Sus scrofa: one gene and its partners. The protein of the gene in region 1 interacts with the protein of each later gene in a pairwise test. Links are inferred from orthologs where the notes say so. Each region holds a gene or a part of one and is shown on either strand. Other genes may lie near its edges. The genes, in order: ZC3H12A, P4HA3 and AHSP.

Region 1 (4,269 bases):
CCCTGGCCCCGGAGGCGGTCCAAGCAGGCAATCACAATCCAGCACGTAGGGACACAGGCAGGGTGCTGTGGGAGCACTAAGGAGGAAGCAACTCAGCACCAAAGGAGTCTGGGCAGGCCTCACAGAGGAGGTGACATCATCCAAAAGAGGAACAGAATTGGCCAGGCAGCTGTAGCCAGGGAAGAAGGGGAGAGCACTCCTGGGCCGAGGAGGAGAGATGCAAAGGCACGGAAGTGTCTGCAAGGCGTTGGCACCGTGCCTGCCGCCCAGTGAGTCCTCCATAAATGCGAGGCATTATCGCTGTGGTTGACTATCATCATTATGCTGATTAATCTGGACTCATTTAATATTCTTACTATCTTAAAGGGAGTTACTACACATGAGCACATGTCTAAATATACAGCACTTTTCACTGAACTTTTCTCAACTCTAAAAGTGGCCCTTGTGTGAAGATTAAGGCTACCGGCACACACAGTGCTCAGCAGGAGTGGTGGGGAGCACAGAGAGGAGCCCAGCCCTGGATGTGATCTGGGGGAAGGCTTGTTTTCTCTCTCTCCTGGAGGCCAGCTCCTGGGGTTGCTGTGCCTGGGGGGCACTGACGTGGAGATCCTTCGGGGTCTTTAAAGATGACCAGGCAACAAAGCAGGGAGTTAGCTAGGTGGGGTCACTGGTGATTTCAAAAGTGACATAGGTGGCACCTGGTGCCATGGAACTGGAGCTCCTGGTGCTGCTTGCAAGTCTTTCCAGCTGGGACAAGGCAGGTTGTACCTGCCTTTCTATCCCAGCAAGGTCCTTATTTCAGAAAAAAAAAAAAAAAAAATGTACTTGGCCCTGGGTGGGGCCCCACTTCTGTGTACCTGCTCCAGTCACGGTTACCTGTTGAGTCTTCCTGTCTCAATGAGAAAGGTGCCCGCCTGGGTGTACCTGTCTTTATAACCATGGCTCTGCCTCCCGTGGTGTGTGGACCAACCTTTGTGCACTTGATTCACTCGATGCACCCCAGACTGTACCTTCCGCATACTTAAGTCTGAACGACCGCAGCTATACCTGTGTTGTACTGCCGTACTCTCGGTCAGCCCGCGCCAGACTCGGATCGCTTACCTGGTCCAACCTGGGCTTACCTTATGCCTGTTGGCCGTACACTCCTGCCCTGCAGATCGCGCCGCCCCGGGGGCGCCTCGAGGCTCAAATAAGGGGCTGCGAACGGCGACCGCTGACCACATTCCTGGCCGGGCAGAGCGCGCTCCGGCTGCGGGGGCGGGGCCGGAGGCCAGGGCGGGGCGGGGCGGCGCAGGGGGCGGAGCAGGAAGGGGCGGTGGCCGCTCCGCCCCCTGCCGCTCGGGCCGGCTCTCGCCTCCCCTGCCCAGCTTCCGCGTCACGGTCCCGAACGCCACCTGCCCGCCCACCCGCCCGGTATAAAGGCGCCGCCGGCCTAGCCTCCGGGACTCGGCCCCATGGAGACGCCGCCCGCCGCGGCCGGCGCACGGTGGGGTGAGGCGCGCGCGCGCGCGCGCGGCGGGGGCGCGGACCTCGGGGCGGGCGGAGGGGGGGTGGGGTGGGCGCAGGCTGGGACTGACCGGAGCCGGAGGGACGTGGGGCCTGTCCCCTCCGGCCTCGCCGGTCCTCGGGACCGCTTCCAACTTAGCCCAAGTTGGGGGATCCTGGGAGTAGGAAGACCGAAGTCTGGAGGGGGAGCCGAGCGAGAGGCTCTGGGCCGGGACAGCCTCCGCGTCACCGAGCCCGGAGGCCAACCAGAGTTTCCCGGCAACTTTTCTCGCTGGTGGTGGGTCGCCCCGGAAACTTCCCCTCCCCCGGTCCGGGCGTCTGGCCACTGGCCCTCCGCCTCCTGAGCCTGGGTTCCAAGCACGCGGCAGACGGACTGGAGAAGACGATGGTTGATGGTTTCGACGGGGAACCCCCGCCCCCCTTCTAGCGCACTTGCAACCCAGCGGGTTTCCATCTGAAAACCCCGCCCCGCGGCTGTGGGGGCGCGGCGAGGCCCTCGAAGGCCACCCGCGACTTCTGGGTCCCTGAGTTTGTCGAGGAGGGGGAGGGCTGAGGGTAGAGGGGGAGGAGTAATCAGACTGCCTAAGTTCAAATCCTTGCCCCACCCGCTAACAGCTGGATGACCTTGAGCAAGTTCTTACTGTCTGTGGCTCAGTTTCATCCTTTATGTAATGGGACTTGAGGATCCCTCCCTGGGAGGGCTTTTGGAGGAATAACAGAGGTAACACCCCCAAATGGCTTTTCATACTGCCCCTAGTGTGGCCTCATCCTCTTGGATGGGGTGGGAGTTGGAGAGAATCATTCCCCGTCCCTAACTTTTGTGCTTGTCCTCCAGGAGCTGTGACAAGTGCCTTTCACCAGTCTGAGCTGTGAGTGGCCAGTGGAAAGAGGCCCACCCGGCCCCACCATGAATCTGTGGGAACTTGAAGACCACAAAAGCTGCCGAGAGACCCCAAGGCCGGCCCAGGAGCCCACTGCCGAGGAGGTGATGACCACGGAGCTACAGATGAAGGTTGACTTCTTCCGGAAGCTGGGCTACTCCTCTGCCGAGATCCACAGTGTCCTGCAGAAGCTGGGGGTCCAGGCAGACACCAACACAGTGCTGGGCGAGCTGGTGAAGCATGGGTCAGCGGCCGAGCGGGAGTGCCAGGTGTCACCGGACCCCTGCCCTCAGCTGCCTCTGGTCCCCCGTGGTGGGGGCACCCCCAAGGCTCCCACCGTGGAACCCTCACCCTCTGAGGAGGACAAGGAGGGTGGTGACCTGAGGCCCGTGGTCATCGATGGGAGCAACGTGGCCATGAGGTACATGTCACTTCTGTGGCCAAGACGGTGGCCGGGAATGGTGGCCCTGTGTCTCTGCACCTCTGGTAGAAAGGACCTTAGGAAGGAGTTTGACCTCGTCTCAGACCGGTCTGGAGGCAGGGAAAGCCCTTTCTGGGGGCCCTTCTGTGTGCCTGGACGCTCTCTTAGTCCTCACGGCTTCTTGGGAGTGGGTTTCAGGATGTTTTAGGGACTCAGAGAGTTGCTCAGGGTCACACTACTGTTAAGTGCCAGAGCAGGGATTTGAGCTCAAGTCTTTATTTCTCCAGAGCAGCCTTAGGCTCTTTGTGAGGGCCAGCACTTGGTCTCGGTTTCTCTCCTGTGACAAGGTTAAGGGATCAGGCCTTGGGCTCCAGCCCGCCCCTCCAGGAGGCTCCTTCCCTCCTCCCAGAGATGGGGCTAACCCACCCCTCAGGCTGTGAGCTGTGAGCAGTAAGCGCACAGAACCTGGAGAGAAGTAAGAGCTTAGTAATCTGTAGTAGTGGTTGTTACTGTCACTGCTCTTCGGGGAGGGTCTCAGACTTCTGAGTCCTTGTTGTCCCAGACCTGGGCTCCCGAGGAAGCCGGCCCAGCTCTTGAGGGCTTTGTAGCTATGACCGAGAGTAACCTTGAGGATCTGGCTCTATCTACATCGGGTGTGTGTGGCTGGCCTGATGCTTTGGCTTCAGGGGAGCTGTGACTTAGGTCCCCTCTGCTTCAGCCTGAGCCACTTGGGCTGGACAGGGCTCCGGGGGCTCCCTGGGGGCCAGAGCCAGGACTCAACCCCAGGAACCACCCCCCCTGTCTCCCCAGCAAGGCTCTCACAGGGAAGGGGGCACAGGGCTGCCACTGGCTCTGGGAAGCCCAGACCTCCTTTCCATCCAGGCCCTGCCCTCCGGCCCTGTTTTCTCCCAGTCCCTTCCAGGCAGGCTGCTGAGTCAGGATTGGGTGGATGGTTCACAAGGAAACGTTCCTGTGGGTGCGGACAGGGAGACCCCAGACATGGGTGTGGGGTGGGTAGGGCTTCTTCCTCAGCTTCCCTGAGGGGTCCCTGGGGGGGGGGTACCTCCTGAGCCAGCTCTGTGCCTTTGGCCCCCCTGCCCCTCCCACACCTGGCCTCCCTGGGGGCAAGTCAGCTGTCTGGCTGGTCCTGGCCCAGCTCAGCAAGTGCACAGGTGGCCCTATTCCGGCCACCTTGGTGGTCCGTCTTCACTTCTCTGAAATGGGCTGGGCCCAGGTGGACATGGAGGCAAGCCGGCTCCCGCGGGCCAGCTGTAACCGGTCACAGCGTGTGCTTTAGTAAGAGTCAGGGGACCCCTCTCAGGCTCCAGCAGTTAGCTGGGTCAGGAGCTGGGGTGCGTCTGTGACCCCTTCCTCTGGGGGTAGGGCCCCAGAGCACGGAGCCCCAGGGGCAGCCATGTGCTCCGTGTGTTTGTGTCCCGGTAGGAGGAGGAGGGGCCTGGG
Region 2 (3,045 bases), on another chromosome or scaffold:
AAGACGCTCAGCCACGGCAGGAGCAGCGGCTGCAAAGGCCTGAAGGGTGGGACCGATCCAACAGCGGGGAGCGTGGTGGTTTGAGGAACAGAAAGAATGTTGTCTCTGGGAACTCCCCTGGTGGCGCAGTGGTTAGCGAACCCGCCTAGCATCCATGAGGTCGCAGGTTCACTCCCTGGCCTTGCTCAGTGGGTTAGGGATCTGGCATTGCCGTGAGCTGTGATGTAGGTCGCAGATCCGGCTCGGCTCCCACATGACTGTGGCTGTGGTGTAGGCCGGCAGCTGCAGCTTAGATTAGACCCCTAGCCTGGGAACCACCATATGCTGCGGGTGTGGCCCTAAAAAGACAAAAAAAAAGAAACAAAACAACAACAACATTGTGTCTGGAATACAGTGAGAGGGGAGGTGAGCCAAGATGAGATTATATATAAATAAAATCTTATAGGAGGTTCCCTTGTGCCTCAGTGGGTCAAGGATCTGGCGCAGCCCAGGCTGTGGTGCAGGTTCAGTCCCTGGCCCTGGGAACTTCTATATGCTGCAGATGTGGCCAAAAATAAATAAATAAACACATACATACATGCGTAAATAAAACATTATACTCCGCCTTTTTCACTCAATGTTATAATGTAAGAATGTTCTCCATTGTGAACAATAATTTGTAAACATTTTTAATGACAAAACTTTTTAATGGCTGTATTAAAAAATCATATTAAAAAAAAGTTACTTTTTTCTACTACTTTAAAAATCATCGCATGAAGTGCACTCCTGATACAGAGACACCCCTGCTCAGTCCTCAGCAGAAGGGCTAATGGGTGTCAGGCACTGCCTGCAGGTGTCTACACTGCCACGTCTGGGCCCCTGTGGCCAAGGCTCAAAGTGGCAAAAGCTGCACGGACCAGAGCCCGGAGAGTGTTCTGTCCTGTTCCCAACACAGAGGGTCTGAACTCCAAGAACCACTCTCCAGCCTCCTCGCCCCTCCTGGGACTCAGGCCTTGAGGAGAAACAGTGTAAGTCTCATCACGTGTCCCCGCTGGGGACCACTTCCTGGTCTCCCATCTGCAAGGAGCCGGCGAGGCTGGCAAGGCCTCCTCCAGAAGCATGCTCTCCTCCTCCTCTCTTACCCCAGCGTCTGGCCTCGGGCGTCTCTGGGAAGCCACAGGACTCCCAGCTTCGCCAACGTTTTAGTCTTCAGGGCTCGAGCTGCAGGGTCTGCGGAATTCCTGTCCATACTCGTGGATCCACTTGTTGGCCACTGGAGGAGGGAGCGGGGAGACGGTTGGGAGCAAGCGCTGCGCTGCGGTTAAGTGCCACGCGCTCAGCAACTCACCCTGGTCCCAGCCCCGCAGGACTATGAGAGGCTGCTTCCAGCAGCAACAGGGAGCAAAAAGGACAGTGGGCCCTGGAAAAAGTCCCTGACCAGTCCTGTCTAATGCAGACTAATTTTCAAACCTGTCACTTACCCCTCACGCAGCTCCGAAAAGCCCGGCTCTCCCGGGGCATCATTCCAGGGAAAAAAGGGGTGCGTTCTCCTGGCACCAGGGCCCTCTTCTCCTTTTGCTGTGTTCGGAGCTAGGTGCTCATGGACAGATGTGTGACATAAACACATCCCTATTCGTTTACCTCCTCCGTGTCTGACCATGGCCCCACGGGGAAGCACTGAGGGTCTGTCCTCGGGGTAGGGGACAGGGGCCAGCACCACCCTCGGCCGTGCTCAGGGGTCAGGGCCTGTCGGTCAGGCCAATAAACTTCTACTGACCCCTGCTCTGCGACAGGAGCTGCCCTTTGTGGGCTCCCAACGTGCTGAGGGTAACTAACCCAGAATCTCACCACCCTAACGTGACGGGAAACTGTTAGGAAGCTTCGAGAAGGAAAAGGCTGGGCTATTTTCCATCTACCCCCTACTTCATTTTACCCTGAACCGTCGCCCCACTCCCATGCCCAGAAAGGCAGGCTTACCCCACTTATCTCCTACCAGGACCGGACAGCCAGCATGAAGAGTGTCACCGTCCCCCTCACCACTCCTGTGCAGGTTCCACCAAAACAGTGCTGCATTCTGAAAATAAGAGGCCCCGTCAAGGGGGTCAGCCCAGCATCTCAGTCCTTCAGAAGCACCTGACTGAGGCCAAATGCATGCATGTCATTAAGCCAGAAAACTGTCCGCGCAGACTGGGGGCCAGGCGAGCACAGCACGGCCCAACGGGTCGTCTCTTTACTCTTTGGCTCATGCGTCGCCAACGGAGGGCCTGCTCTCCTCCGGGCCCTGGAGAGAAGGAGCCAAATCGAGCTCGTGGTCTTGTGGGAGAGACACGCAAAAACAAACCAGGATGAGACGGTGTGACCAGTGCCGGGGCAAAGGTGGGCACAGGGGGTCACAGGATCACTCAGCAAAAGCACAAGGTGGAACAAATCCCCCCTCACCCAGGTAGGAACTTAAACCAGATGCTCGCCCTCCCTAACGGCAGCCCAGGAGGCAGCATCATAAGCCCACATGACCAGCAAGGAAGCTGAGGCTTAGAGGCTTTAAATCATCAGCTAAGAAGGAGCAAAGCCGCAACTCAAACCCAGGCATCTTGATCGCAAACCTTGTATGTTCTTGTCCCCTCTTGTACCAGGTTTTTCCTATACACTTTAATCCCCAGCATTTATTGAATGGTTAGGATGTGCTGGGCACTATGCTAAGAACTGTGAAGCATGATCTTAATTTTTTTTAGGGCTGAACACGCATATGGAGGTTCCAGGCTAGGGGTCCAATCAGAGCTGTAGCCACCGGCCTACACCACAGCCACAGCAACGCCGGATCCTTAACCCACTGAGTGAAGCCAGGGATCGAAGCTGTGTCCTCATGGATGCTAGTCGGGTTTGTCAACCACTGGGCCACAGCGGGAACTCCGATCTTAATTATTTGACTTCTCTTCATTCCTGAAGTAAGAGCTGCCTTCCCTGATTGTTGACTGATTGATGTGACATTTGGGGAAAGCAGCCATTAAACAAAGCTCTTATCGCACCGGCCCTCCCCTGTGCCCGGCTGGACTTTCCAGCGCTTAT
Region 3 (2,817 bases), on another chromosome or scaffold:
TTTTATGGCCACAACTGTGGTATGTGGAAGTTCCCAGGCCAGGGATGGAGAGTGTGCCACAGGAGGAGTTCCCAGAGGTACCAAATCTGACTAGTATCCACGAGGACACAGGTTCGATCCCTGGCCTCAATCAGTGGGTTAAGGATCTGGAGTTGCCATGAGCTGTGGTGTAGGTTGCAGGTGCAGCTCGGATCCTGCGTTGCTGTGGCTGTGGTGTGGGCCAGTGGCAACAGCTCCAATTCAACCCCTAGCCTGGGAACCTCCATATGCCTCAGGTGTGGCCAAGAAAGAAAGACAGACAGACAGAAACTGAGCCACAAGAAAAAGAGTATCTTAACTTTCTTGAGTGTCTGGTGATATAACAGAGAATAAGACACATGCATCTCCACTCTTGTGGAGCTCAGCCTGGAAGCATTCAGTCCTCCCACCTTGCAGCTGGCGTACACCTGCAACATGTGGCTGTTACTGGAACTTGCCTAATATGATTTTTTATAACAATTGGGAGTTCCCTGGTGGCCTAGTGGTTAAGGATTCGGTGTTGTCACCCCTGTGGCTAGGTTCTGATCCCAGGCTTGGGAACTTCCACATGCCACAGGCGTGGTCGGGGTGGGGAGAAAAAGAAAGAAGAAATACCTTAACACTTGCTTGAAATAGAGCCTGGCACAAAATGATAAACGGAATGTAAGCTGCTGGTAATAGATCATCTATGAATTGGGAGAGTAACTGCCACTGCTTGTTGGGATGGTTTAAAAAAATGCCTGTAGGGAGCTCCTGTTGTGGTGCTGCAGAAATGAATCTGACTAGGAACCATGAGCTTGTGGGTTTGATCCCTGGCCTTGCTCCGTGGGTTAAGGATCCGGCATTGTCGTGAGCTGTGGTGTAGGTCGCAGACGTGGCTCAGATCCTGTGTTGCTGTTGCTGTGGCATAGGCTGGCAGCTGTAGCTCCTATTGGACCCCTAGCCTGGGAACTTCCATATGCCACAAGTGCAGCCCTAAAAATTACAATCAATCAATCAATCAATCAATCAATCAATGCCTGTCATGGAATGGGACATCATTTAATGTTAGCATTTGAAGCTTGGATACTGGGGTGTGCAGGAGAGGACAAGGATCTGTCTCTGGTCCGGTTTTCTGGGCCCCTCCCCTCCCCACTTATCTATTTTCTGGGCTTTGCTATCTTTCTAATTTCAGGGAAGCCTCTCCCTCCTTCCCCTGCCCTGGCTGACCTATCACCCTCCCTCAGCTCCTAAATGCAGGGCGTTTCCCTCTTGAGCTGACACACTTGCCTCCTTGTCTGCATCTAGCTGGGCACAGAGAAACATCCAGACCCTGCAAAGGGTAGGTGAGACACTACAGCTCCACCTGCAGTGGACCTGAAGGTGAGCCCCCCGGGGAGAAATGCCATCTCAGAACAGGGCAGGGTTTGAAAGGTGGTTGAGGGCAGCTGGCCTTGCACCAGGGATCCTTCAGGGGAGTGAGGGAATTGGGGGAAATAACCCTTGGATGGGCAAAAAGGATACTTAAGTTCCATCTGTTTCTCTACCCAAGCAGATGGCCCTTCTTCCAACCAATCAGGATCTCATTTCTGCAGGAATAAAGGAATTTAACATTCTGCTGAATCAGCAGGTAGGCCAAGGCCCTCCGTTTCAAAGAAAGGGCCTGAAGTGTGGAGAATGGATGAGGACAGAGAAGGAAAAATAATGTGGAGCCAGGAGGGTTGTGGTGGCGTTGATGGAACCTTCTAGAGACAGGGCATACGAAGTGGAGAAAAGGGGGTGTCAGAGTGTGTGGTTATTCCTGATCACAGGGCTCAGCGGGGTTTCTCTTGCAGAATCCTAACCCCCTCCCCCCACCCCACCTTGCAGGTCTTCTCAGAGCCTGCCATCCCCGAAGAGGCCATGGTGACTGTGGTGAATGACTGGATGGACTTGTACCTCAACTACTACAAGAAGAAGATGGTGGGGGAGCAGGAAGAGCAGGACAAGGCTCTGCAGGAACTTCGCCAAGAGCTGAATACTCTGTCTGCCAGTTTCCTGGACAAATACAGGAACTTCCTCAAGTCCTTGTGAGCAACCCCATCACCCATGGCCTTTCCCCTGGCGGGGAGACCCAGATTGCATGTCTAAGAAACCCTTAAATGCCGCTTCTGTGTTTGTCAAGTCCCCAGGCTCTGCTTTTTCGGGGTGTTATGGCGCCCTGACCCCTCAATAAAGACCAGTCCTGGTTTTGATGGTTTTCTTGGCTCTCCGACTCTTCTTGGGGTTTGATTCGTGACTTGTGAAGACTGTTAATCTCCTTTCCCTCAGTCTTGCTTCCTAGAAATGACCTTGGAGGTCTAATTCCTTAGAACAGAGGCTGGCAGCCTTAGGTAACTACTGGGCAGTACTAAAACAGCCTGAAGGTGGGGCCAGAGAAGCAGAGCCTAAAGAGTCCGTGCTGGGAGGCGGGGGGTCGTAGACAAAAAGAGGGAGATAGAGCCTCTGCAGAATTTGTGGCCCTGTCGTAGTTCCCACGGTGGCTCAGCGGTAACAAACCCGACTAGTATCCGTGAGGATGCAGGTTCCATCCCCGGCCGCGCTCAGCGGGTTTAGGATCCCGCATTGCTGTGGGGGCAAGGTGGCAGACTCGGCTTGGATCTGGCCGGCTGCGGCTGTGGCTAGGCTGGCAGCTGTAGCTCCAATTCAAACCCTCCCAGCCTGGGAACCTCCATATGCCGCGGGAGCAGCCCAAGAAATAGCAAAAAGACAAAAAAAAATAATAAAATAAAAAATAAAATAAAAAATGAAATGAAGGTGTTGAGAACGAGGAAGGGCCCC

The links.
Region 2: the proteins of ZC3H12A (region 1) and P4HA3 interact in binary tests that used the Homo sapiens proteins (3 or more experiments, as listed by UniProt). The two-hybrid records come from large-scale screens. The link is inferred for Sus scrofa from reciprocal best matches to the Homo sapiens genes ZC3H12A and P4HA3.
Region 3: the proteins of ZC3H12A (region 1) and AHSP interact in binary tests that used the Homo sapiens proteins (3 or more experiments, as listed by UniProt). The two-hybrid records come from large-scale screens. The link is inferred for Sus scrofa from reciprocal best matches to the Homo sapiens genes ZC3H12A and AHSP.

What each region holds. Positions count from the first base shown.
Region 1 is NC_010448.4:93,539,973-93,544,241, forward strand, and holds the start of ZC3H12A (endoribonuclease ZC3H12A), read left to right. Parts: upstream 1-1,361; 5' UTR 1,362-1,486; exon of another isoform or gene 1,487-1,491; intron 1,492-1,556; exon of another isoform or gene 1,557-2,227; intron 2,228-2,341; 5' UTR 2,342-2,413; coding exon 2,414-2,808; intron 2,809-4,269. UniProt on the Homo sapiens protein: Endoribonuclease involved in various biological functions such as cellular inflammatory response and immune homeostasis, glial differentiation of neuroprogenitor cells, cell death of cardiomyocytes, adipogenesis and angiogenesis.
Region 2 is NC_010451.4:8,626,802-8,629,846, forward strand, and holds the end of P4HA3 (prolyl 4-hydroxylase subunit alpha-3), read right to left. Parts: intron 2,054-3,045; coding exon 1,957-2,053; intron 1,253-1,956; coding exon 1,182-1,252; 3' UTR 566-1,181; downstream 1-565. UniProt on the Homo sapiens protein: Catalyzes the post-translational formation of 4-hydroxyproline in -Xaa-Pro-Gly- sequences in collagens and other proteins.
Region 3 is NC_010445.4:17,058,760-17,061,576, reverse strand, and holds AHSP (alpha-hemoglobin-stabilizing protein), read left to right. Parts: upstream 1-1,233; 5' UTR 1,234-1,380; intron 1,381-1,549; 5' UTR 1,550-1,552; coding exon 1,553-1,627; intron 1,628-1,866; coding exon 1,867-2,070; 3' UTR 2,071-2,237; downstream 2,238-2,817. UniProt on the Homo sapiens protein: Acts as a chaperone to prevent the harmful aggregation of alpha-hemoglobin during normal erythroid cell development. Specifically protects free alpha-hemoglobin from precipitation.